7 linked regions of the Ovis aries genome follow. The protein of the gene in region 1 purifies or fractionates together with the protein of each later gene. This does not show direct contact. Links are inferred from orthologs where the notes say so. Each region holds a gene or a part of one and is shown in the gene's direction. Other genes may lie near its edges.

The links.
Region 2: the proteins of COPS3 (region 1) and CUL5 purify together in Homo sapiens (affinity purification with mass spectrometry; 3 studies listed by BioGRID and IntAct, with this or other methods). This does not show direct contact. The link is inferred for Ovis aries from reciprocal best matches to the Homo sapiens genes COPS3 and CUL5.
Region 3: the proteins of COPS3 (region 1) and DCAF11 purify together in Homo sapiens (affinity purification with mass spectrometry; 3 studies listed by BioGRID and IntAct, counting the BioPlex papers as one, with this or other methods). This does not show direct contact. The link is inferred for Ovis aries from reciprocal best matches to the Homo sapiens genes COPS3 and DCAF11.
Region 4: the proteins of COPS3 (region 1) and CUL4A purify together in Homo sapiens (affinity purification with mass spectrometry; 10 studies listed by BioGRID and IntAct, counting the BioPlex papers as one, with this or other methods). This does not show direct contact. The link is inferred for Ovis aries from reciprocal best matches to the Homo sapiens genes COPS3 and CUL4A.
Region 5: the proteins of COPS3 (region 1) and CUL2 purify together in Homo sapiens (affinity purification with mass spectrometry; 5 studies listed by BioGRID and IntAct, counting the BioPlex papers as one, with this or other methods). This does not show direct contact. The link is inferred for Ovis aries from reciprocal best matches to the Homo sapiens genes COPS3 and CUL2.
Region 6: the proteins of COPS3 (region 1) and CUL4B purify together in Homo sapiens (affinity purification with mass spectrometry; 11 studies listed by BioGRID and IntAct, counting the BioPlex papers as one, with this or other methods). This does not show direct contact. The link is inferred for Ovis aries from reciprocal best matches to the Homo sapiens genes COPS3 and CUL4B.
Region 7: the proteins of COPS3 (region 1) and BTBD2 purify together in Homo sapiens (affinity purification with mass spectrometry; 3 studies listed by BioGRID and IntAct, counting the BioPlex papers as one, with this or other methods). This does not show direct contact. The link is inferred for Ovis aries from reciprocal best matches to the Homo sapiens genes COPS3 and BTBD2.

Annotation. Positions count from the first base shown.
Region 1 is NC_056064.1:34,632,738-34,636,954, forward strand, and holds the start of COPS3 (COP9 signalosome complex subunit 3), read left to right. Parts: upstream 1-1,417; 5' UTR 1,418-1,499; coding exon 1,500-1,554; intron 1,555-3,176; coding exon 3,177-3,306; intron 3,307-4,217. UniProt on the Homo sapiens protein: Component of the COP9 signalosome complex (CSN), a complex involved in various cellular and developmental processes.
Region 2 is NC_056068.1:17,395,703-17,398,206, forward strand, and holds part of CUL5 (cullin-5), read left to right. Parts: intron 1-920; coding exon 921-1,115; 3' UTR 1,116-2,504. UniProt on the Homo sapiens protein: Core component of multiple cullin-5-RING E3 ubiquitin-protein ligase complexes (ECS complexes, also named CRL5 complexes), which mediate the ubiquitination and subsequent proteasomal degradation of target proteins.
Region 3 is NC_056060.1:20,842,409-20,846,564, reverse strand, and holds the start of DCAF11 (DDB1- and CUL4-associated factor 11), read left to right. Parts: upstream 1-1,356; 5' UTR 1,357-1,684; coding exon 1,685-1,839; intron 1,840-2,728; coding exon 2,729-2,856; intron 2,857-3,090; coding exon 3,091-3,218; intron 3,219-3,491; coding exon 3,492-3,556; intron 3,557-3,869; coding exon 3,870-3,970; intron 3,971-4,156. UniProt on the Homo sapiens protein: May function as a substrate receptor for CUL4-DDB1 E3 ubiquitin-protein ligase complex.
Region 4 is NC_056063.1:85,900,618-85,904,117, forward strand, and holds part of CUL4A (cullin-4A), read left to right. Parts: coding exon 1-78; intron 79-1,244; coding exon 1,245-1,349; intron 1,350-1,549; coding exon 1,550-1,660; intron 1,661-1,734; coding exon 1,735-1,820; intron 1,821-2,371; coding exon 2,372-2,479; intron 2,480-3,500. UniProt on the Homo sapiens protein: Core component of multiple cullin-RING-based E3 ubiquitin-protein ligase complexes which mediate the ubiquitination of target proteins. As a scaffold protein may contribute to catalysis through positioning of the substrate and the ubiquitin-conjugating enzyme.
Region 5 is NC_056066.1:17,650,754-17,654,949, forward strand, and holds the start of CUL2 (cullin-2), read left to right. Parts: upstream 1-1,396; 5' UTR 1,397-1,563; intron 1,564-1,649; exon of another isoform or gene 1,650-1,838; intron 1,839-2,190; 5' UTR 2,191-2,366; intron 2,367-4,196.
Region 6 is NC_056080.1:104,877,681-104,881,180, reverse strand, and holds part of CUL4B (cullin-4B), read left to right. Parts: intron 1-3,012; coding exon 3,013-3,117; intron 3,118-3,500.
Region 7 is NC_056058.1:41,967,343-41,971,476, reverse strand, and holds the start of BTBD2 (BTB/POZ domain-containing protein 2), read left to right. Parts: upstream 1-1,334; 5' UTR 1,335-1,355; coding exon 1,356-1,738; intron 1,739-4,134.

The DNA of each region.
Region 1 (4,217 bases):
AGTGGAGTGGGTTGCTGTGCTCTCCTCCAGCAGATCTTCCCGACCTAGGGATTGAACCTGCGTCTTTTAGGTCTCCTGCACTGGCAGGCAGGTTCTTACCACTAGCACCACCTGGGAAGCCCCAGAGAGCCTGTGGGTCACAAGGAAAGATCCCACATGACACAAGGAAGACCTGACACAGCCAAATAAATCTTAAAAAAAAAAAAAAAAAAAAGTTCCCAGGTGCTGCTGCTGCTCTTGGCTGGGGATCACACTTTGAGAACAGATCCCAGTAAATAGGCAAAAAAAAAAAAAAAACTGAAGTATGACTAGTCCAGTTCAGTTCAGTTGCTCAGTCACGTGCGACCCTTTGCGACCGCATGGAGTGCAGCACACAGTAGCTGTGGCTATTTTGAACTCTTATAGTGCTTAACTTCTCTGGAAAGTTCTGGCTTTTATTAAAATCCATGTATATCCATGGAAATGTATCCTATAATTCAAAATATCTGTTCTCTGTTTGAGAATCAATTGTGGCCATACAGCACACAGGGATATCTCTGTCCTACAGTATAAGCGTTAAAGTCATTCATCCGTACATGTCATCATCTATACATTCATATATACAAATACATCCATTTATTTCTACCGCTATACCAACATACAATTATTACTATTATATTTCATGTCAACTCAGTACTGCAATAGCTTCTTAAATGATTCTCTGAGGTTATCCATGTGAAGCCAGTCTTTTCCATATTCAAGTCTGATCATGCCACTCGCTTGCATGAAACTCTCCATTGCTCCCCAATCTTCTCAAGGAAAAATCCAGTAGCTTTAACACGGCTTACTTGACATGGCCCCTGTTTATCTTGCAGCCCCATCTCACATCACCCCTCTCCAGCCATAAGTATTTTACGTAGTTTATCGTGAGGATTTTACAGATGGGGAAACAAGGCAGCGGACAGCCAAGGAGCTTGCCGAGAGTCATGGAGCTACTAAGTGCTAGAAAAGGGATTTGAAGGCAGGTTGCCTTCCTGTCTGGACAACTACTACCTGGCTGGAAAAGCCTCAGGGAAGAGGTTGCGATTAAGACAGGCGGGTTCCCTGAGTGGGGAAGATCCCCTGGAGAAGGAAATGGCTACCCACTCCAACATTCTTGCCTGGGAAATCCCATGGACAGAGGAACCTGGCGGGCTAAACAGTCTATAGGGTCGTAATGAGTCGGACACGACAGAGCGACTGAACAACAGCTAGGCGTTCAGTTCCTTCCTTTGCCCACCATCCCCTTTAAATCCAGGGAGCGACTTCACGTGTGCACAGAACGAAAACGGAAGGGAAAAAAACCTGCTTTCCGGCGCGGGCATCCGCAGAACCGGTTCCATGGAAACAGTAGCCGGGTCCAGGTAGGTAGATCTCGCGGCGCTTGAGCGGCGGAAGTGACGTCACCGCCCTGAGGCCCTCCGGTGGGTCGCCGGCCCTCGTCTCGCGCGCGCCGCCTCCGTCGCCCGGCTACCGGGAACATGGCGTCCGCCCTGGAGCAGTTCGTCAACAGCGTCCGCCAGCTCTCCGCCCAAGGTGAGGCGATGGGCGCGGGCCGCGAACCTGCGTCCGGGCTGCGGCGGGGGTCTTGGAGCTTGGGCCGGGGCTGAGGAGCGCGCGAGATGGACCACCCCTTCGCCCAGGCCCCGGCCTCCGCCCCCCGCCGTCGGAGCTCGGTGCGTCTCGCTTCCCGGAGGCCCTTCCCGACTTGGCCGCGCGGCCGGGCCCCTCGCGGCTGGCCGCGCTCGACCCCCGAGGGCCCTGGCTCCCGGCTCCCTTTTCGGGGGGCGGAGTTGTGGCCGCTGTGAATTTGCCCCTAATTTTCATGCCTTTGGTTGGTTCCTCTCATCGCCTGAGTGACGTGCCCTGGGCCCAGAATTAAAGTAACTGGCCGCTGTTGTGAGGCCCCTTTCCTCACCCTGTTGGTTCATCTGTGAAATAGAAACGTCCGGACTGCGCGGGCTTGTCAGGAGTGAGCGGGAGGAACCGTTAAGGTTCCAGGAGCCGCGTGACCTTGCTCAGACACCCTTCTCTCGGGAATCGCGTCTCCCGGTGTAAGGACCCAGGTGCTGCCCGCCAGGCTGCCCCGAGGTTGCTTCGGTTCCTGGCGCTGCGCGGCGCAACGGTTCTGCCTCGTTTCTCTTAACTGGTAGGAGTTAGGGTCAGGAGTGAGGCTGGGAGTCTCTGGGAGTGAGGAAGACACTCACTCATTTGTTTGTGCCACAGACTGTAGTTTCCCGAGGTGACGTGAGGTTAGAAGGTTTGGGTTAAAGTCCTGTCTCAGTTGGGCCGAGTGGTAAGGAATCTGCCTGCCAATGTGGGAGATCCCCTTCGATCCCTGGGTCAGGAAGATCCCATGGAGGAGAAAATGGCAACCCACTCCAGTATTCTTGCCTGGAGAATCCCATGGACAGAGGAGCCTGGTGGGCTGCAGAGAGTTGGACATGACTTACTTTAGCTGCTGAACACGCATGCACCTGTCTCAGTCACTTGGTGACTAACCAAACAACTCATTTCCCAGGTTCAATTTTCTTACTTACAAAACAGAGCCGGGGCCGTGCTGGTGAGCATCAAACAGGATCGCTTCGCCTGGAAGCTTCACACACACATTTTGTGCAGGCTGCTGCTGTAGGAGCAGGCTGCCCAGCAGAGACGGGCAGGTCACTTGCCCTGCCTCTGACTGATGTGCCTCACGCCTCCTGCACAGACTGGTGCTGGTGTGGAGTGAGGGCTGGGGTAGAGAAGGAAGAAGGGGGCTGCTCAGAAGATGATGGCGTGCAGATTGAAAGTGACAGGCGTGGGAATGAAGGCGGAGGGGAGAGGAAAGTGTGGACTGAGAGGCTGAGGAGTGAGATGAAGTCAGAGCTGGTGACATTTTGGATACAGAAGGGAGATGAGTTGGTGCTGATGGTAATGTGCACTCTGCTGGGTTGGGGCACTGGAAGTGGGAGTGCGAAACCTTCGGCGGCCAGAGGAAAGTGGGAGACTTAGCACTGAGGCCAAAGGCAAAATCATTTGGTGTCTCTGGCCCTTCTGGGTCCTCATCTGAAATGAAGGAGTTGGAGGAAATCACCGTTAGGCACTGGCAGGTCTGAGGTATGACATCTTTTGGTCTGGTGAATGCTGTTCTGAATGGAAGTATCATTCTTGTTTTCCAGGGCAAATGACTCAGCTTTGTGAACTGATCAACAAGAGTGGGGAGCTTCTGGCGAAGAACTTATCCCATCTGGATACCGTGCTCGGGGCCCTGGACGTCCAGGAGCACTCCTTGGGCGTCCTCGCTGTCTTGTAAGGGCGTCTTCCTTCACGGCTTTGTGCTCGCTCAGCCTCAACGCTGCATTCTCTGGCTTTGTTTGGTGTAGGAAGCAAGCCCTGTAAACGACAGTGAGCTCTTTGGCACAACTAAAGTCACGTTGTAGCAGTTACCTTTACCTCATTGCAGCTAATCATTGCTTGTATTTTTTGCTCTGCTTTATTGTTTTTTAAAATTCTTAATACAAATTTTGAAATGTTTTAAAAAAATGGTGATCTCAGTTGTGGCACTGTAGTTTGTGTTTATCTGAGTACTTTTATTCGTGTGATCCATGGTATTCTCCCCATTTTCTGAATTGAAAAGAGGAAAGAGTGGCAGGACATGGCAGGAGGCCGAGCTGAGTGAAGTTCCAAGTAATCCAGAGCACCCTGCAGACAAGTTTAAGCTGGTTTAAGACCAAGTTAAACAGACGTTATTCCAGTTGGCCTTTTGAACTCTTGTGACTATGTACTTGACGGTTGTTTTTTTTTTCTCTTGATGTTTTAGTGTCATAGATTGGGATTTTATGGTTGTTGTGGAAGTTGAAATAATGTAGATGAACTGAGAACAAATTGACCTGAAGTGAGGGTCTGGCTTCACTTGAGCTGGTGCTCCTGAGACAGGGGTGTGTCAGGAGGAAGGTGCTGTCAGAGCCCGAGGTCTAGCCTGCACTCGCAGGATGGTGGTCAGTGGCTGTTGTGTGTCTGAGTGTAAATCTTTACAAATAAGTGACATTCAGGATTCAGCTCCTCTGTCATACATGCAGCATCTTGAAGACTCAGTAGCCACTGCTTTAGATGGCGCACACTCGGAACAGGGCCTTCGCTGCGGACACTTCTGCTGGCTGTGGCTGGCGGATAAAGATCTCTGCTGGCTGTGCTTTCCCATTAAAAGAACAGGGAGCACA
Region 2 (2,504 bases), on another chromosome or scaffold:
CGCCTTACTGGTTTCTGTAAAGTACAAGTGCCTGAAGGAAGACAGACTTTTTCCCTCTTCCTTCTTTCTCCCTGAACCCTTGACATAAACCCTGTGATCCAGAGTGTGGATTTGGACATACTGTTAGGAGTAATTCTTCTGACCTGCTCGTGGCAGTGTAGGAATTCTCATGTCTGTGCAGAGGAAGTTGATGGTATACTTTTCTCATACTGAATACTGCCTGACTCCCAAGCCTATTGCCTTGTAGCAAATCTCTGTTTTTTAGTGTTTAAAAGCAAATATTAACACATTTCTGTTTTAAACTTCTTTTATAATGAATTTTAATCTCCAGTAAGGCAGATGAATGCCTTTTGTTGACTAAGAAGAGACCTTGTACTGGAAAAGACAAAAGAGAAAATATTTAGTAATTTTCTAATTATCTATATTATATAGATTAATAGTAATTAAATCATCAAGGAAATTATTAATAAAATTGACTTAAATGAAAAGTGCTTACTCCTCCAGAAAGTTGAACCATTTAGTCGAGTCATTATAAACTGAAGGTACTTGATAATAAGTACAGCTCATTAATCTGATAAGTATATAAAGAGTAGTGATTGTTAATTTTTAAAACAGAGCAACTAAAGCAACTGACTGCTACTACTATGCAAAGAAATAACTGTAAATACAAGGGGAAAAGTATGTAAAAAGGGATATGAGTAATTTTGCTTTTCTTTATTTTTCAGAATATCCATAATATGCAGATTTTGTTTTCCACAGTGAAAAGAAGATACTTTTGTTTGTTACAGGTCTCAAGGTTAATCCAGTGATTGCTAATCATTTGGATAGATGTTGGATAGAGGATAAAAAACATTAAAAGTCATTTTTCGTTTTGTTTTACTTAAAATAATTTAATACTTTATTTTTATTTTTTCTTTTAGGAAGCTATCATACAAATAATGAAGATGAGAAAGAAAATTAGTAATGCTCAGCTGCAGACTGAATTAGTAGAAATTTTGAAAAACATGTTCCTGCCACAAAAGAAAATGATTAAAGAGCAAATAGAATGGCTAATAGAGCACAAATACATCAGAAGAGATGAATCTGATATCAACACTTTCATATATATGGCGTAATTTTGAATATCATGGACAATATTAAGAACCCAAATTTTGGAGTGCTTCGGCAGAAAGTTCTTACAGTTTGTGCTAGGGGAAGGTTTAGTTGGACTTCGATTACATAAATATTAAAATCTCTGCCTTACCTAACAAAACAACTATATTTTGCCAATCACATTAGTTAGCATGGTGGCATTCCTTTCATGTTGCACCACTCTGTTTTAACAGCATGCTGTTTTGTGAGAAACTTGCATTCACAAAGAGCCCATTATGAGCTTTTAAAATCCTGGTTTATACCCACCAGAAGAAATAACAGTTGGGAGGGTGAAAGTGGGGTTCTTGTTGCCTTTTTTTTCCTTTTTTTTCTCCTGTCTTAGAAAAATGTATTTGCACAAGGAAGGATCTTCAGATGTTTGTGCACTGAAAAATGCTGTTATGTTTTGTTTTTGTTTTTAAATTCAATTAAAACTAGAAATAGCACTCTTGATTTCTTTTGATCAAAAGAGTGAGCTGGTCTACACAACATTGGGACAGGGCAGATATAGATGAACAGATAAGTATTTAGTATTATCATATGTTCAAACACTGCTTCAGTATAACAACTGGATTTTAGTGGGGACTTCAAAGTGATAGTAAATTTTTCCAACTAAGAAATGTTGGCTTTCGTTAAGCAGGAGACTACTGTTTTAGTTGTTCATTGTTAAATGGAGTGGTTTTTTTTTTTTTTTTCTAATCTTATATGGCCAGAGAGTTTGTTTTGAAAAAGTGAAGCTCATATTATTATTTTAGTTGTTTAAAAAAATGTATGGAGATAGATCATTTCAACTTCAGAGTCAAAAATAGCAAAACTCGCATATTAAGTGTTTACTAAGACACTTAATATTATATACCTAATATTTATTATGCTACACTCAAATTCATTAAAAAATAAGGCAGAAATCTCCTGCTTTAATATAATACAATTATATAACTGACCTCTTAATCTGTAGCATAGAAATACTTTGAAGTTTTAAAGTCTCATTATTAGGGATTTGTAGCCTCAGGTTTCTGGAAAGGAAGATATTCTGTTTTAAAAAGTAATAATTATCAGTCACCTACGAGGTAAAGAAAAACCACAACATAGACCTGAAAAGCATAAGCAGAATTGTTGCAATCTTAATATGAACAATAAACTTGCCAAATAATATGTATATATATATATTTATATATTTTGAAAGTAAGCATTTAAATAATGTTCAGAACCAACACTTAAACTTCTTTCTTTCAGTCAATCCAAAGTAGCAACTTTTTAGTTGCTGGCAACTGAATACCCAGAGTAATGGAGATTTTAGGACTTGAAGACATGAACAACTTAAAAAAGGAAAACTTATTCCCCACTGGGAAAGAATGGCTCAACATGGATTTTAT
Region 3 (4,156 bases), on another chromosome or scaffold:
GCGCCCGCGCCCGGCACGAACAATCAACACTCCCCCGCACAGACACACACACCCAACCCCAGCAAGGGCAAGGATCCCAAAGTACACAAGTCGCGGCCTTGGACTTAGCCCAGTTACTCATAAACCGGGAGGAGGGGGCAGGAGGCGCCGCGCGCCAGGGCCGGCCTGGGGCGGAGAGGCACCCGAAGCACAGAAGATCTAAAGAAAGTCCGCAAATCCCAGAGGGCCCAGGGGGCGGCTGAGGGGAACAGACAAAAAGTAAAGGCCAAAGGAGACCCGTGTCTGTGTTAGGGAACGTCAGCAAAGACCGACAGGGGTCACCTAAAAAGTTGCCAAAGCTGTTAACAGGAGGTCTAGAAACGGCAAACCCTACAAGAACAAGGCTTCCGGAAGCTAAGTCCGGAAGGGAGGGTGGAGGGCCTATGACGTGAACACTTCCCAAAGGCGCCGGGCACCCCTTAGGGCAGGGACGGCAGTAGCTGCAGTCGGCGAAGAGAGAGAGGATAGAGCCGAAAGGGGAAAAGGGAAGGAAAGAGTAGGTCCTTAGAGGTCGTCTGAAAAGTGCGAAGCCAAGCTAACCCAAGGGACCGACAGCAAATTGTATCCCTTGTTAAGACACCTCACGGAAGCGCGCCAACGTCTTTTGTAAGCCCCGCCCCTCGCTCATCTAGTCTAGTTCCGTGGTCTCAAATTCAGGAAGCACCCGGTTCCCTACATACTCCTCCCACAAGGAGCGGTCGCCCCTACTGGGCTGCGCGCTTTCTCCTCCCCTCAAACCCCTCGCGCACTTTCTCCCGCCCGTCTGTCAATCACCGCGCTCAGCTGTCCAGTAAGCTGGCCAAGAGGGCTGGGCCGTCAGGGCTGTCGCGTGACGTCCGTAATCCGCCGGTCGCGGAGCGGGGAGATGCGTGACGAAGGCGGCGCGTGACGGAGAAGCTGTTAGCCGACGCTGCGGCGGCAGTCCGTGTAAACAAGGCCTCGCGCCGCTGCTGGTCCTGCGACTGCTTCTCGCTGGTGGGTGGTCTCGCGCGTGGCGGTAACCGCAAACTATGTGGGAGGTGCTTCTCGGCTTCCTCCCTGCCTGCCCCCGCTTAGCGTACACACCCCCGGAACACCACGTGGGCGTGAGGCAAGGAAGGGGGGGGGTGTTAGGCCGAATTTTAACCTCATTGGTTGTTGCTGCCACCGGCTCTCGCAAGGGAGTGCTCTAATTGGCCGGCAAGGGGGGCGTCGAGGGGGTCTCTGAGTTCTAAGGCTTCTGATTGGCTAGGTGGGTAAGCTAATGAGGCGCCTTTCCATCCGCGAGGGGTTTTGATTGGTTCGCCGGAGAGGTTACCTGGGAATCCACCCCCACCCCAGGGACTTTGATAGGTGAGTTTGAGGTGGAAAACTGAGAAATTCCTGTTCAAAGGATTTTCACTAGTGAGCTAGGGTCATGCCCTAGGTTTCACTCTGCTTATTTTGCTTCACAGGATTGGGAAAGGTTTGTGTTCCCGAAGCCTTGGGAGTTGTTACAGGCTGAGGAGAAGGGATCTCAATACCTAGGAAGGGTCGCCCTCCTAGAGATAGCTACTATCGATCTCAGGAAACTCTGGTGTTTCTAGAGCAGGCTTTGCTTTCACCAAACCCAAGGAGGTGACAGGAGGAGTCCCCACACAGGACTTAAGGATGCTGTGACCAGAAGATGGGATCACGTAACAGTAGCAGCGCAGGAACTGGGTCCGGAGACCCCTCCGAGGGCTTGCCCCGAAGAGGGGCTGGCCTGCGTAGGAGTGAGGAGGAGGAAGAGGAGGATGAAGATGTGGATCTGGCCCAGGTACTGGCCTATCTCCTACGCAGGTAACTTACCCCTTGGTGTGTCCCCACCAGGCACCACCACAGTCCCTTGATACCAGCTCCCGTCGGGGAAGTTACAGAGAATAGAAAATGGGATCAGCCCAGGATAGCTGTTCTGTTTGAGCAGAACAGCCTTCTCTGCTGGACACTGGCAGCACTCCCCTAGGCAGGGTCAGCAGGATGATTTGCTCTTGTGTTGAGGGGACTATTCAAGGGAGTCTAGCTATGACTACACACATGTAACCTATTTTCCAAGTAAGTAAAAGAAAAAAGAGGGAGGGGTGTCCTGGTGGGAAGGAAGTGCTATGAGGGGTGAAGAAAAGAGTTGGGGAAGTGGGTGTTGAATTTAAATGAAGTCATTGACACATGATATGAGGCCACATGGATTTACTTGAAAAACAAGTTTAAATTAACCTAACTCTAATCCTGTTCCTGAAGAAAGAATGCTTTGAGGGAAGTGACCACTGGCAATTGCCTGGAAAGGGGGTGCAACTGGCTTTGGTTCTTAGCTATGGCTCCTTGAGGGAGAAGGCAGGCTTGAGAATCCCTTCAGAAAACCATGTCCTATGCTAGACTCCTTGGGCAGAGACTCAGAAGGAAATGCTCTCAGAATTTCTAACTCTCTGGGAAGTCAAATCAGTAGATTAGCCAACATCCATGCAATGCTGGGGTTTTCTGCTCCTCTTGTAAGAGTGAAAATTAGCTTCCTGGTGTGTCTTATAGGAGACAAAATAACAGCCATGGTCTAGTCAGCCTCAAACCTCAACATGGGGACAGTACAGGGGTTTGAGGACAAGGTGGTCTATGAACTACATAACCATTGACTCTGAATTTGGTTGGTCTGGGGAAGGGATCCTCCCCTTTATCACGGGGTGGGGGGGTCTCTCCACAGAGGCCAAGTGAGGTTGGTGCAGGGAGGAGGTGCAGCAAATTTGCAGCTCATCCAGGCCCTCTCGGACTCAGAGGAAGAGCATGACAGTGCCTGGGATGGTCGTCTTGGAGACCGATACAATCCACCAGGTAAGAGGAAAGACAGACAGAGACCCTGACATCAAAGGATTTCCACTACAAAACTTTTTTAAAAAAATTAATTTTGGCAAAAATTGAAAGAAAAAGCTGAGATAATTCAAGGAATGAGGGAGTCTTTGCAGCCCCAGTATATTCAGCCACATTGAGAAGGCTGAGCACAGCCTTGCTAACTATCTGCTGGGGCTGGAAAAGACCTAGGATGAAACTTCTCTTTGGTGCTCACAGTGGATGCAACCCCTGACACCCGGGAGCTGGAATGCAGTGAGATCAAGACACAAGTGGAATTGGCCACAGGGCGGCTGGGGCTTAGGCGGGCAGCCCGGGAGCTCAGCTTTCCTCAAATGCTGCACCAGGTAGGCCTCTCCTCATCCAGCCAGTCTGGCAGCAGGACTATTAGTGCAGCCAGAATCCACAATCCCAGAGAAGAGGGAAGTAAACTTTCCAAGGAAGCCTCAAGTGCTGGAGCTGGAGCACTCTCAACCAGCCTGAGTGGGCATTTGGTGGGACATATTACTATGTGCTGGGTTCATTCCTGTAGCAAGAGCAATATTTTGGAGGAGGGGGCTTGGTGTGGCTGAGGTGGCCCTCTGTTTCTACTAGCAATATTCCCCAATCCCTTCCTTTAGAGAGAACGGGGCCTCTGCCACCAGGGAAGCTTCTCCCTTGGAGAACGGTCTCGAGTGATGTCTCAGTGAGTATGGGGCTTGGTGGAGAGATTCCAGGGGCCAGATAAGTCTAAACTTTCTTAAACCTTAAAAGGATGAGTGTTAAAGGATTCTCAAGGATATTAAAGTTAGGTTATGTGGGGTTGAGGCTTTGAGAATGAGCAAAGTGGAAAAGTATAGCAATTGAGAGGATGATAGAATGAATCAAAGACAAAGGCTTATACCCAAAGCCGGGAAGAATGCCCCTGTACTCACATCCAGCTGTGTTAGGATGCTACTAACTGGGACAAGGAGCCATCCTGAGCTCCTCTTACCCTCACTTTCTTTCTGCTTCCCCAGCTTCTTGCCCAACGATCTGGGCTTCACCGATACCTACTCTCAGAAAGCTTTCTGTGGCATCTACAGCAAAGATGGTCAAATCTTCATGTCTGCCTGTCAAGGTACCATACCCTAGTCCTACCAGCTGCCTTAGAACGAGAGATGTTCCCTCTGACTGATGCTAGAAAGCCCCAGATCCAGGGAGCTCAGACCCTGGCTTAAGGATGCTTAGCTAGAACACATGTTTTGTCCCATGATCAAGGGAAGATTCCACAGATCAGTGGTGAGCGAGAGAGGTCTGACCTAGG
Region 4 (3,500 bases), on another chromosome or scaffold:
AGAAGTTCATCAACCTGATGAAAGAGTCCTTCGAGACATTCATCAACAAGCGGCCCAACAAGCCCGCGGAGCTGATCGGTAGGGAGCAGGCTCGCGCACAGGCTTCCCCTGGAGCACGCGCCGCACGGGGAGGGTGGGCGGGCCTGAGAGGGCCGCCTTTCCGGAAGCCACAGACACCAGCGTGCGCTTCTGTGTGCTGAATCCATATGTGAGCACGTGATGTTTCCATTGGGAGCGTGTGGTGATGGTTTTGTGACAAGATGGAGCCTGACGTCTCAGGAGCAGGATGAGACCAGCAGATTTCTCCTCGCCTGCACGGCCCCGGCCCCAGAGCTCTTCCTGCCCAGAAGCTGGCCTGGGTTTGTCGTGTAGGAATGTTAGGAGGGTGACTGTTGGCCTCTCGACAGCGCCTGACAGGAGATGGCTGTTCAGGCTCGACCTTGTATCCCCCAGTCAGTGTTAAATGTGGTGCGATTGATTGGCACTCTTTCAAATGATCCCTTTGTATACTTATTTCCTGATAACATCAAAATATACCAGGATTCATGGAGTCTCATCAGTGAGGCAGTTTTTTTGGAATTGTCCAGAGGCAGTGGGCAGGGAGGTGTGAGGCCGTGGCATAGGGCTGAGCTCCGGTGTGGGCTGGTGAAGGCGCCTGGTGGGAAAGTGGAGGTTACAAGTGCGTACATTTGTGGCGCTCAGAATCAAGACAATGAGGGGAGGGGCTAAGACGAGCCAGCGGAAGGAGACGTTCAAATGCACCTGTTTGATTTGGCCTTTGTGCCACTTTATAGACTGTGGTTTCTCTAAAGACACATTCGGACTCTGGGGAGCTCGGGTTCTCCCTTCCTTTGGGCAGGTCGAGGCAGCCTGTGCGTCTCGAAAGCAGGAGGGCAGGCGGACCCACTCTGTGCCTGAGGGGTCAGCCCTGAGGGGAGTGCTCCCGCGTAAGGAAGCCTTGCCCGCACGTCTCCGCAAATCCTGCTGGCGGGCTGCTCCGGCTTCTGGAGCGGTCGTGTGCCAGGAAGCTCCAGTGTGGGACCGCGGGGTGTGTTCTCCGAGCCTGGAAAGCACAGATCTTAGAACATCAGGTGTTTGCCTTTTTGTTACAAAATAACATGTCAGTTTGGGAAGGTTCCAAGTGTTTTTTCTTGGAGAAATTAAAGACCTTCCTTTTTGTATTTAGAATATGTATCGTATTGTGGAGTGAATGCTTATTTTTCAAATGATATCCTCTCCTACAGCAAAGCACGTAGACTCAAAGCTCAGAGCAGGGAACAAGGAGGCGACAGACGAGGAGCTGGAGAGGATGCTGGACAAAGTCATGATCCTGTTCCGGTTCATCCACGGTGAGCTGGGCCCCCAGCGCGTCCGCGGCATGGGACCGCGGTGGCAGCCGCTGTGCGCGCAGCAAGGGGGTTTGTGGGGATTCAGCGGGAAGAGCTGGCTGGCACACGCGCGTGGTCGCCTCTTGGGCCGAGTCAGAAGCTGAGGTGAACATTTTGACGGCAACTGTTAAATGTCTCACATGGTTCTTGCTTATAAATAGGTAAAGACGTGTTTGAAGCTTTTTACAAAAAAGATCTAGCAAAAAGACTCCTGGTTGGAAAAAGTGCCTCCGTCGACGCTGAGAAATCCATGCTGTCGAAGCTGAAGCACGGTAAGCGCCGGGGGTGGGGGTGAGCGCCCCACTCAGGGCCTTCCTGATGCTCACCCGCCGTCCGCTTTGTGCAGAGTGCGGGGCCGCATTCACCAGCAAGCTGGAGGGCATGTTCAAGGACATGGAGCTCTCCAAGGACATCATGGTTCATTTCAAGCAGGCAAGTTGTGTTCAAGTGAAACAGCTCTTTTAAAAACACGCTATTTCAGATTCTGTGAAATGATTTTGCATGTAAGTATGTGACCTGTGTAAAATCCTCGTCTTTAAAAATCACGCTGTTGATGCTCCACGTACTCAGAACACTTCAAAATGAAAAAGAAACATAACCCCCCGGGATTCCCTGTTGGTGCAGTGGTTAGGACCCCAGGTTTCCACTACCGAGGGCCTAGATTCAGTCCTCAGTCTGGGAACTAGGGTTCTGCCGGTTGTGTGGCGCAGTTGGAAAACAAGAAAAGAAAACTAATTCCTAAAAGTGCACTTGGAACTCTGGCTTAAATGAGCTTAATGGCCCGTATCTGGGGCAGAAGTGAAGAGAGACGTTCCCAGTGGCGTTTGACCAGGGCGTGTGGCCTCAGTGGGCTATGTTCCAGGGGCTCGAACAAATGAAACGCAAGGTGAGCTGTAGCTGGGAAATGGGGTCATCGGTTTCTGGAGGTCAGTTCTGGGCGCTGCTCTAAAGTGGCCGTCTGTCCCGGCTTCCTGTCTGTGCAGTACATGCAGAACCAGAGTGACCCGGGCTCCATAGACCTGACCGTGAACATCCTGACCATGGGCTACTGGCCGACGTACACGCCCGTGGAGGTGCACCTGACTCCAGAGGTGAGCGCGCTCGGGAGCCAGACCCTGCTGCCACGCGCTCCTGCTCCAGGCCCCACGCACCGCAGGGAGCGTGGCAGCCACGCTCGCTGAGCCCTGACCATCCGCGTCTTCTCGGAGCAGCGTTCACAGCGGGCGCTCCTGGTCTGTCTCTGCCGGCTGCCTGTCACGGAGGCGCTGGTTTAAAAAGCTCCTGTGTGGGAGCCTCGAGCTTCCTTGGCTGGCTGATGCTCCCACCCGACATACCAGAGCCAGGGCCTGAGAGGGCAGGGACGGCGTTGTGTGGCTGAGACGGGCCCTGTGAGGGGGATGGGGTGTGCCTGCCGGCGTGGGCCCAGGGCCTCCGGGGCGACAGCTAGGCCCAGGGCCTGGCACCCGGGCAGATGTGCTGCTGCCCGGACCCACCCTTCCTGTTCGCAGGGCAGAGTCTCCTGGAGTCCCCCGTTTCTGGCCCCAGGCAGTCTCTGTCGCGTCCTCTCCTCCTTTTCCTCTTGCCTGTACCCCGAACGCACATGTTCCCTGGAAGCCCCAGCTCCGTCCCTCTCAGCCTCCAGCCTGTGTCTCCAATCCCCCCCACCCCGGGTCTGTCACGGCTGTCCCAGACTCAGCGCCCCTTCCCACATCTCCCCACGCGATGGGACGGCTCTGCACCCCTCCCCACACTCTGCCTGGCGCGCTCACGCTCCCAGGGCGGGTGTGACCGTGCAAGCTGACACTCTTTCCTGGAAAACCTCCACGCCCCGTCTGTGCCTGCTGGTTGACACTCGTCTCCCCCCTCCCCCTGGGGTGTGCGTGCACACGCGTGCCGGCGCTGCAGGACTGGCCGGGCGTGGAGGGATGGCAGGAACAGGCCAGAGTCCCAGGGCCTTCCCTGGGAGAGGAGGAGTGCAGCGAGGGTCGTCCCAGCTTGCGCAGCCGGGCAAGAGCACGGGCTCTGACCAGGCGGACCACCGGCGCTCCTGGGCTCAGAGGCTGCAGGGGGCCGAGGAAGCCTGCGGGGCTCGGGAGCGGGGGCAGCGAGGGT
Region 5 (4,196 bases), on another chromosome or scaffold:
TAAAATTAGTACTTTTTACTACTTCACCAAGGATATTCCTAATACAAAACAAGAACAAAGTACCAAACTGGGAGTGTATGGCTTCAGTGCAATGACCAACAGGACAGATTTGTGCCACCCTCTTTTTTTTTGTTTTGGCCTTGCCAGGCACCTTGTGGCATCTTAGTTTTCCCACCAGGAATCAAACCCAGGCCCAGGCAGTAAAAGTGCAGAGGCCTAACCACTGGTTGGCTAGGGAATGTCTCTTGCCTCCCTCTTGATTCTGCCTGAGGAGAGAGATGTCAGCCGAGTTTTGTGAACCCAGAAAAAAATAACAAAGAACGTGTCATTTACAAAGATGATTGTTTTTAACATCGGGACCCCTGAAAAGATCTCAGATTTCCAGAGGTCTGAGGGCCATACTTTGAGAATTGCTGGATTAAAAGAAAGAGACCATGTGAGAAAACAGGTCATATGTGGGATTGATTTTAACACATGATAGCTTTCTTAGAATAAGTACTGCAGACTTCAAGTGCTGTGAGAGGCAGATTAGAAGAGGAGAAAGATCCGTGGGATTTACCAGGTCGGGAGATTTTACGTGGACCTTGAGGGAATGGAACTGACTCCAGTATTCTTGCTTGGAAAGTCCCATGGACAGTAGAGCCTGGCAGGCTACAGTCCATGGGGTCCCAAAGAGTCGGACACGACTGAAGAGACTAAGCCTACACGCATGCATTGAAGGAATGGTACAGAGTTTTAAGAAAGGGTGTTGGATGGGAAAGGCTTAAAACGCACAGAGAAGACTGACTTCTGAGATCTTTGGATACCAAAGGCTGATAAAAGAATAAAGCCAGGCTTTTGTTCCCTGGGGCGCTGTGCGTACTAGGGAGGAGATGGGTACTGTCTGAACTTTTGTCAACATCACCCTGAGCATTTGTAGGCGAAGGACACCCTTGGATTGACAGGTGCAGGGAGGCGGGGAGTTGGGGTCACAGGCTGTGAAGGGACGGGCCTCTACTGAAAATACATTATTTATGTCTCAGAATGTCTACAGATAAAAACCCACCAGAAAAGGATACTCCGAGGAAACTAATTTTGCTAATACCTATCAATCCTTTGAAAAGCCCACAGAAGTAAGTAGGTGGCAAGGAGATGGTGGTGTATCAGAATGTTCACGTAGTTCTAAAAGAACTTTAGGGGAAAATCCTGTGTTGAAACCACTTTTCTAACACATTGTTATCAGCCGCCCCTGGACTTAAGGGGTCCTCAGTCGCCAGCTCAGCGAACCACGAGCGCTCGTGGGCAGCTGGGGCCGCTCGCAGTGGCTTGGAGCAAGATTCCCTCGGCCTTCCGCCACCGCACAAGAGTGGCCCTCGGCCCTCGCCGTACTCGGACTCTACCAACGCCGGCACAGGACGGGGGTGTTTGGTGGTCGCGGAAGAGGAACCCCGAGGGTGTGCCGGGAAAGCAGGACCTCGGAGGACGGTTGTTTCACCGCTCGCGTGGCTCGCCCGCCCTTCTCCCCTGTCCGCTCCCCACTGCGCCGTTCCATCCGGGAGCTGTCCCGTGTTCCCGCGACGGCAGGTGAGCGCCCTGGCCCCCCGGCCCCGGGCCGGCCCCCCCCCCGCTCCTCGGCGGTGGTGGCGGCCGGCGGGGAGGCGCCTGCGCGCAGTAATGGCAGCGCGGTGAGCAGGGACGGAGCTGACAGCCGCCGCCGCCCACCCTCCTCGCCGGGCACCGTCCTGCGCGCCCTCGGACTGTCTCCCTCCCCTGCTCCCTGCCCCGGGTCCCGCCTCTGCAGCAGGTAACCCGCTGAAGGCCCGGAGCCAGCTGCGGGCTCCGGGAAACTTCCTCTCCCGGTTAGTGGGTGGCGGGGCTGGGGCGGGGAGAGGAGTTGGGGGCGCGGAGGGGGAGGGGAGGCATGGGGGGAGGCCGGGGACCGGGTGTCCTGAGGGTGACCCTGGCTCCAGGAGCGCTGGCCCCGGAGCCTGGCCGCCCCCGGACTGTATCCCGGGCCTCCAGCCGGCCTTGGCCGCCCCTCCCTCGGCCCCATTTTGCTCCCAGGGAGGAAAGGTGCGAGTGCGTGTTCTCTTTTATTTACGCGCCCATGCGGTTACACAGCTCTGTGTGTTTGCGGTGTGAGGGGTCGGGGGCGGGGGGCATCAATCTCTTACATCCTTACCACGAGTGTCTTCACTTTTGTTTCCGCAGACAGCGAAGATTGATAGCTCTGGGGAGGAGTGCCCTGCGTGCATGCTAGACCTGTCTCAACCCTTGGGGTCTGGTGAAATAAGATCCTTAGACTCTTAAGAGCACTTAGATACACACCAGGGAGTCTGGACCATTCCCTACCACCCTGCAAAAACGTGCATGTACAGAAAACATTTGTGAGTTGCAGACTGTTTTGTCGTTAAATCCTCTCCTTTCCCCAGGGAGTACTAATACCTAGTTGTAAGGGAGAACCTTGGAAGTTTACATTTTGATTATAAGATTAAAAACTATTAACATTCACTACAGACTTTGGTTTTACAGTGTAAACATCTTTGAACTAGAACAGTCCCAGATCTATACATAGTAAGATAGGGGAAATAATCACTTAGTTCTGACTTATCACCCACTACATAATAGGCATTTAAGAACACTCAAAAGACTGCTCTCTCTTCCTTACTATCTCACGTTTCTTTCCAAGGCAGACAATCAAATAGATTGTTTATATTTTGCCTCTTTTGCCCAAATACGGTGTTGGAAGACCCTTCCAAAAGAGTCAGAGATGAAATAGCAGATGTACACGGTGTTCTCAGTTACTCTTCCCTACCCCAGATACTGTTTATAAGTTGGAAGGACATCTGTACATAGTATGTGAAAAATACCCTTTCTATGTCTGAATGCTCACATGCATCTGAAATACTTTTGCTTCATTCTCCAGCCTCTGGTGATTTTTAAGTGTTTTCTGTGGGAAGGTAGTTTTTTCATGTTTTTTTTTAATCTTCACCAGTGTCACTAAATGGAATGTTGTAGGCCTTCTTCAAAGTCTGTTTTGCCTTGCCTTTGTCAGTTCACTATTTATTAAGCACCTGGTTTGTATGACAAGCATTACCTGAGGCCTTAGGGATACAGCCATAAACAGGACATGTGAAAGTTCTGCTCTCCAGGAGCTTCAGTTCTGGGAGGTAAGGGAAAGCCAGAAAGTAAGAAATAGAAAAAGTTTCAGCCAATCCAAAATGCTATAAAAGAAGTAAAATAGGAAGGCGTGGTAGTGACGAGGAGAGACTGCTTCAGATGCTGTGGTCAGGAAAGACCTGTCTGAGGAGACTTTTGACCTGATATCTGAAAAGTGGGAAGAATATGGCCTCTGCAAGTCTGAGGGAACAGCAAATGGATATGTCCAAAGGTAGTTTCAAGCTTAGGTTCAGCAAACTGAAAGCAACTCACTGAAGTTGGGCTGAGACCCTCGTGAGAAAGAAAAGGTTAGGTGGTAGCCATGGGTCAGGTCATGTGAGGTCTGTTATCCAGAGGAGTGTGTTTGGCTTTTATTCTTGAGGATCATTGAAAAGCTGTTCCCTTTTTGCAAAGCTGGGAGTGATATGGTCTGGTTTACAATCTGACCTGAAGGAGGTTGGATAAGAGGAAAGAAGCAGGCCTACTGGTGAGAAGGCTGCGGCAGGTCTGAGTAGTGACCAAAGGCAAAGAAAAAAGATGCTGAGGTCTATTTTGGAGTTGAAAGCAGTGATCTGGCCTGGTTCGGATGGGAACGCGGTTGGCTGGGATGGGGGTGACTCCTGGGTTTGAGGCTTCACTTGGAACGTGGTGACGCTGTGACGCCGTGAATTGAGACGGGGAAGTGAGGGAAGCAGGTTGTTGTATGGGTGTAGGGTTGGATGGGACATTTGAAGTAGGACCTATTCAGTATTCATGTAGAGGTGAGAAGCAGGCGGTTGGATACCCAAGTCTGGAATTCAGTGGAGAGATTAGGGAGGCATTCATTGATTCAACAAGTATTTTTTAAGCACCAGCTATGGACTAGGCAGTGGGGATACATCATAGTGAAAAAATAGACAAAAATCTCTGCCTTCATAGGATTTAACTTTTAGTCAGAGAAAGATACGGGGAGTCATCTGACTTTATCTGTTGGTTATTATAATTATGTTAATTTTTTAAAGAAGTAAAAACTCCTCTGTTTTGCTTCTTGTTATAATTATCTTTAGATACAAACTATA
Region 6 (3,500 bases), on another chromosome or scaffold:
CTCAAAACCCAAAAACTATGAGAGAGCACGTAGTGAAAAGTTTCATTTCCACTCCAACCTCCCTGCCCCAGCAAACAAATGTTATTAGGGGTATCATTCCAGAAATGTTTCATGTGTGCAAAAACAGATGTGTGGAGGTTTTCTCAATTTTCTTTTTTATATATACATAAATGATAGTAGACCACTATTCAGCACCACACCATGCAGTCCTTTGTATTTTTTTATACCTGTTAGGCAATTTCTCCATAACAATACCTGAAGAGCTTGATGGAAAAGTTCTTAAAGATGGAAAATTACTCAATCTGGTCTATATGTTAAGCAGTCAAGGCTAAATTAGAGACTAGTAAGGGGTTCTGTTCCATCTTGACCTTCAAAATTCACCTTAGATCCTCCTGCCTTGGCCTTTCCTTCTTTTATTGCTTCTAATAACTTAAACCTGGTGACAGAGGATGAGATGGTTGAATGGCTTCACCAATGCAATGGACGTGAACTTGGGCAAACTCCAGGAGATGGTGAGGGACAGGGAAGCCTGGTGTGCTGCAGTCCATGGGGTTGCCAAGAATCGGACACGACTTGGTGAATGAACAACAACAATCTTAAACCGCTTTCTAAGCACACGTGAAGCCATATGCATATAATGTGCATGCACACACACTTGGTTGCTCAGTTGTGTCCAAATGGTAACCCACTCCAGTATTCTTGCCTGGAGAATCCCATGGATGGAGAAGCCTGGTGGGCTACAGTCCACAGGGTCGCAGTCGGACATGACTGAGCGACTTCACTTTCACTTTCATTTTTCATGGACTGTAGCCTGCCAGGCTCCTCTGTCCATTGAGTTCTTCAGGCAGGAGTACTGGAGCGGGTTGCCATTTCCTACTCCAGGGCATCTTCCCAACTCAGGGATCGAACCTGCATCTCTTGAATCTCCTGCATTGGCAGGTGGATTCTCTACCATTGCTCCACCTGGGCCCAATTCTCTTTTTCTCACTATTCCCATAAGCTCTTTATCCACATCCCTCTGGGTCTTTGGAACTCCACCTCTTTACTGCTGCTCAGCAAGCCTTTCCTGACTTTTCCCTGCCATAAAGATTGAGTTAGAGACCTCACCTCTATGTTTATCCCCATCATAGCACCTAATAGTGTGTTGTAATTACATATTTTCTGACCAGTTTTCACTTTATGCTGTAAGCCTCTTCTGTGTGTAGGACACATTGCTAGTTATAAGTACATTAGTTTTTTGAATATTTATTATATTCTCCTGGTTTAGAGCCCCAGAAGTATTAAAGAACATACAGGTACATGAGCCCATGGTCTGGTCTCTTTCTGTCATTAAGGAGAGTTGGGGGCCAGGATATACACATTCAAAGATACAGTGTTGATTCAGTGACAGGTCAGTATGGTATGACTGTTGGTAGTGCCATACGAGTCATTGGTAGCTGAGACAGTTAAGGAAAGTTTATTGGAAGAAGTGGAACCTAGCTGAGTAGTAAGGGAATGTGGTATCCTGTATGAGAAGATAAACAGGTGGGATGAGAACTAACGTATGGAAGAAAGTATCACAGCAGAAGGGAATGGTAGAAGTAGGACTTGGAAAAGTACTTGAAGTGGGAAATGTGAAGAAAATGCACTACAAAGACAACTTAAGCAGGGAAACAAGAAACGCTGAGAAAATCAATCATTCAAAAGGAACACCAAGATACAATGAGAAGACTACTAAAGGAGGAAGAGAGTCCATAGGGGATCATTGTGAACCAGTCAGGCACATGAAATAAACGCACTCTTAGACATTTGTGGCCTGACCCAAGGCCCCATCGTAAGTGGTGGCCAGCAGGAACTTCGCTTCCTTATTCCTCGTTAGCTGCTGGGTCTAAGTGGTCTGCTGTTTGCTGGTAAGGTGTAGCACCTTTCCTCCTTTAGTATAAGTGGTTTCATTTAAGCTTTCTTTTCATTTATGAGTTTATTTGCTGGACCTGCATGCTGGGAATATGACTTCCAACTACATATTTATAAAATTTCAATCCAACCAACAGGACTTGGATGGTCCCTTAGAGTCAATTTTAATGGAATTTTTGCCTTCTCTTGTGGTGAGAAAGAAATCCTGGTGTTATACTTAAGTCATTACTAGTTGGAATTGTAGATTATTTCAGAGTTCTACCATGCCTGTTGTATTAAATTTGAAAGTCTTTTGATACACCTAAGAAGAAACTCAGTGAAATCTCAGTTTTGTCCTTTTGGGATTTGACTATAAAAGACCAATCCAACAATTAGAAAAAATAAAAATTCAGTATTTCTTTAGGAGTTAATGTTTATTCCATTGTGCAAAATTTTAAAATGGCTATTTAAATATTCTTAAGCTGCAGTGTTGGAGATAAATCCTTGTATAATTATTTCATTCTTATAACACTGCTTGCAACAAATTCTGGATTGCTCTGTTCAGGAAAACCAAAGAAAGTATAAATAAATTTAAATTCAGTGGTAGTTGGACTGCCCAGTGAAAGTGAAAGTCACTCAGTTGTGTCCAACTCCTTGCAACCCCATGGACTATACAGTCCATGGAATTCTCTAGGCCAGAATACTGGAGTAGGTAGCCTTTCCCTTCTCCCCAAACTATCTAATAAACAGTTGGTAAAATTATTTTTCAAACTCAAAATGGAATTCTGCTTAGAAAAACAATTAACATTTTTATGAATAAGACAGAGTTTATATGTAGCAGTTGTTATAAATTCAGTGTCTTTACAAGTGGAGAATTTGGCTTGATTCCCCCCATACTTAAACTGTACTGCCAGAATAAACAGATTTGGGGAGGGGTGGTATACTACACTGGTTATGAAAAAAGTTCACTAATTGCATTGATATTTGGTGGTTTTACCTTGTGTTTTAAATGGATGACATCCTTTTTAATAAGTTAACATGGTAGAAATAACAAATAATAGGAATTAGATGTAAATAATCAAGAAATATATATACAGAGATACATTCACTCCTTAAGAAAGTATGTGTTTAATTTTGCAGGCTGTGGAAAATCTCTGTTCTTACAAGATTTCTGCAAACTTGTACAAACAGCTGAGACAGATTTGTGAAGATCACATCAAAGCACAGATTCATCAGTTCAGAGAATATCCTTTTAAAAACAAAAAAACCTTGTATTTTCATCTTTTCCTCCCTCTGTCCCTCACTTTTTAAACCAGCTTAAAATGGAATGCCTATGTTTTGTAGATTTGTTGGGTTTTGTTCATCTTGCCTCTAGGGAAACGTAAAATTTCACTTTTTACCTCTAATTAGGGTCCAAATCTACATTGTACCACTAACGTAAATAAAATTTCTTTATGTCTTTACTCTTATTGTCCTCACAAATTTCCATTTGAGGAAAGATAATCAGGAAATAATGAACTGAAAACACAGTGCTCAATTACATCTAAGACTTGCTTTTTGTTGTTTTGTTTTGACCTTGTGGCATGTGGGTTCTTAGTTCCCAACCATAGATTGATCAAACTCATGGC
Region 7 (4,134 bases), on another chromosome or scaffold:
TTCAGGTAGGGTCTGGTGAAAACACCCTTATGTCTCCCTCTCTACTCAGCCCCTGCCTTCTGGGATATTAAACAGGGTACCCACCCCCCACTCCCTGTTCATCTTCTTGACTCCTGAGTCACTGGTCAGCCTCCCTTCCTTTAGGAAAGCCTCCAAGCTGCCCCTGCACCCCTGAAGTCATACCTTCTGTTACATTCCTCAGGCTGCATCTCCAGGTTGTGACCCCCAGGTTGCTCAAGAGACCCTGTTTTATGGTCTCCTAGCTGCCTGTGCTTCTTCTTCAAGGCATTAGGGCACTCTGACATTGTGGGTGCAGTTAGCTGTTTGTGGGTTGCAGCTCTGTGGACACCGGGCAACTGACACCTGGCTCAGAGGAGGGACCTGTATCTCTGTTGATTCTGGGATGCACAGCCCTCCCCTGCATTCAGCGCTACCCCCACTGTGGAGTCCCCTCAGCTGACCACCTGGGGTTGGGGCTAAGGTCCAGGGTCCCAGCTATGGGGTTTGGACTCTGGAGTTGGGTCTGCATTTGTGTTTGGGGGTCATGGGTCAGAGATTGGGATCTGGGGTTTAGGGAATGGAGTTGGGGTCTTAGTTCTGGCGTCCCGGGTCTGGAATCTGAGGTCTGGAGTTGGGATCCAGAGCATGGGTTCTGAGGCCCAGGATGTAGGAGTGGGATTATGGGGACTGAGGTCTGAGGCCTGCAGCCCCTGCAGTTGAGGATCTAGGATCTAGACTGGTGATTCCAAATCTGAGGTCAGGGTTTTGAGGTTTGAGGTCTGGGGTCACAATTTCTGGATCTGGGACATAGAGTCTGAAGTAAGGGGTCTGGGTTTAGTACCCGGGTTCTGAGGTCCAGGATCTGGGATCTGGGGTCTGAGGTAGAGGATCTAGAATCCGGGGTCCGGGATCTGAGGTTAAGGACCTGGAATCTGGAGGTCCAGTGTCTAACAGATCTATAACCCGGAGTTAGGGGTCTGAGGTGCAGGATTTAGAACCCGGGGTTGGGGATCTGAGGTAACAGATCTAGAACCCGGGGTCCAGCTTCTGAGGCAACAGATCTAGAACCCGGGGTTGTGGGTCTGAGGTACAGGATTTAGAATCTGGGGTCGGGGTCCCAGGTCTGAAGTACGAGATCTAGCACGTGAGGGGTCCCATGTCTGAGGTCGGGGCTCTGGGGTCTAGGCCCGGGGTCTGAGGTACGGTCTCCATCGGCCTCTGCTTGCCCCCGCCCCGCCCCTCCCTCTCCCCTCCCGCTCCGCCCCTCTCCCCTCCGTGCCCCGTCTCCTCGCTCCTCCCCTCTCCTCCCGCCCCTCCCCCGCCCGGCCCGCCCCGCCGGGCGCCGCACCGACAAGATGGCGGCGGGTGGGAGCGGCGGGCGCGCGTCGTGCCCGCCGGGGGTCGGCCCGGGCGCGGGGGCCGGCCCCGGGCCCAGCGCCAACGCCGCCCCGGCCCCCGGCAACGCGGCCGCCGCCGCCGCCGCCCCGGCCCCCGCTGTCCCCGGGCCGCCCCCGCCGGTGTCGGTGTCGGGGCCGGGCGCGCAGGCCGCGGCGGGCGGGGAGCGGGCGGCCGAGGAGCCGGGGGCGGCCGCGCTGCTCCGCGAGCCGGTCTACAACTGGCAGGCCACCAAGCCCACGGTGAAGGAGCGCTTCGCCTTCCTCTTCAACAACGAGGTGCTCTGCGACGTGCACTTCCTGGTGGGCAAGGGGCTCGGCGCGCAGCGCATCCCGGCGCACAGGTGGGCCGCCGTCCGGGACCGCCGCCCGACCTGGGACCGGGTTAGCACCGAGGCCCGCCCCCCGGGACTCCGTCATCCCCCAAGACGCTGCCGCTTCCCGGGACCCGGTCATCCCCGGGACCGGACCCCTACCCCCACCCCCCTCCCCAGGATTCAGTCATTCCTGGGATCCCGCTCCCCGTCTCCCCTCAGGAAAACCGCCAGCCCCGGGGACCCAGCACCAGCCATTCCTGGAACCCCTGCTGTCCTGGGGCCCTGCCCTCCCCCACCGCCCCCGGGTCTCAGCACCCTTAAGGCCCTGTGACCCTGCCAGGCCTCCGTCCAGCCGGGACTTCCAGATACCAGCCATGGTCCGCTCCTGCGACCCCTGCCCCTCCACCCTCATTGGAGTCTCCTGGCTCTATGATCCCTGACCCTGCGCTCATGCCCGAAATCTCCCAGGTGCGCTGACCTCTTTCACTTGCTGCATCTCTGTGACCCTTCAACCCCTGCCAGGCTTTCCAGGCCTTGCAGACCCCAGCCTGGACAGCCGAAGGACCTGCAGAGACCCCATCTCCTTCCGCCTCCTCCACTGGGCCCCAGTGACCTCCTCCCCCGAGTTCCCCCTCCTGGGGCTGGGACCCCCCAGAGCCCCGCTCAACTCCCACCTCGTGAACCCCAGACCCTGACACCGTACATCCCAGGTCTTCTCTTGAATGGGGTTTTCCTTGGTGCAGGCCCACATCTCTGCCAGTCTCAGGGGTGCAGCCTCCAGACTCCTGGGTGGGGCGGGGCTGGTATCAGACCACCCTGCCAACTGCTTGCTGGGGGATGCTGGGAGGGTTCTGTTGGGGGAGGGGGCTGGGGGTTCTTGCAACTCTGCCTGGAGAGTCCCCAACCCGCTGTGAGGCTTGTCTTCACCATTCTGGCATGTGGCTTTTACTTGGCCTGTGTCTTCGAGATTCTTCTCTCTGGCCCTTTCCTGGTTATTTATGTGCAATTGGGACTAGATTCCTGTCCGAGGAAGGTTCCAGGCCTGTGAGGGCGTCCCCAGGACCTCCTGGGGCTTGTCCCTGCCCTAACCCTCTCCCTTCCCCTGCGAATTCCCCAGAGGACTGGTTGCCTTGTGACCCAGGAGCCCCAGCCTCTGTCATGCCTTTCTTGTTTGATATTCCTGCTCTGTGGATCCTTTTGATGGAAGGTTCTAGTTCCTTTTCTATTCAGCCTTTGGGTTGTTGTTTCATTTGCATTGTGAAATGTTACCTGCCGCGATCAGGTGCGTGAGTGACCCTGGGCTCTCCTGAGCCTCAGTTTCCCTCCACCTCTGTGACCTGGGACCGACCATTAGACACTTCCTTCCTGGAGCCACTGGGAGGGTGGACCCTGTGACCAACCAACCCTGGGACTAACCAGGTCCTAATCACAGTGCCTGGGCTCATCCTCCACAGGCTGGCCCCACAGGCTGGTGGGGATGTAACCCGGTGCTCCAGGAAACACTCTGGAGCATTGCTGCTGGAGCAGACAGAAGTGGGGAGAATTCCTCACAGCATGCGCCCAGCTCCAGGCTGGACCTCACCCCCGCCTCCCTCCCGGATGGGCTGCATTAAGGGAGTGGCTTGTAAGGAGCAGATTGGAACCCCATCTTGGGGAAACCCGGCAGATGCCCCTTAACCAAGTGGCTAAGTTGATGGTCCTGGGGGCGTCAGCACCCCCAGCAGGAAAGACTCCTCCCCCCGGTGTGCTCCACCCCCAGCCCTGAGTCCCAGTGTCGTGGGTTGATGGTGGCCCCCAAGTTGTGTCCAAGTCCCAATGCCCAGAACCCATGAACGGGACCTTATTGGGAAAAGGGTCTTTGCAGATGTGGTTAAGAGTTTCAAGAAGAGATCATCCTGGATAATCTGAACGGCACTAAATCCAACAAGTGTCAAGTGCCCATGTGAGAGACATGGAGAAGAGGGACCGGGCAGAGACTGGAGGGATGTGTCCACAAGCCACAGTCTGCCTGGGGCCCCCAGAAGCTGAGAAGGGCAGAGCCTTGCAGGGAGCGTGTCCCTGATCTTGGACCTGCAGCCTCCAGAACGTGAGATTCTCTCAAGTCACCCAATTTGCGGTAACTTGTTAGAGGAGTCCCAGGAAACCAGTCCACCTGGAGAAAATAACCAGATAAACCCAGTGGGGCATGCCTCAGGTCCAGGACACCGGCAGGTCCCCAGGACGGTCCTGGGAGGAGCCCGAGGACACAAGTAAACGCCACGTGGGATTCAGAAACAGAGCCTGGGGCGGGAAGGGCATTAGTGCAGAGCTGGTGACTGCTGAACTGGACCTGAGCTTACTTCACAAAGCAGACTGAGGGCAGGGCTCGTGCCAACTTCCAGAAAGGCTGTTGGGTCTGCAGCCACCATTTCCCAGAATCCAGA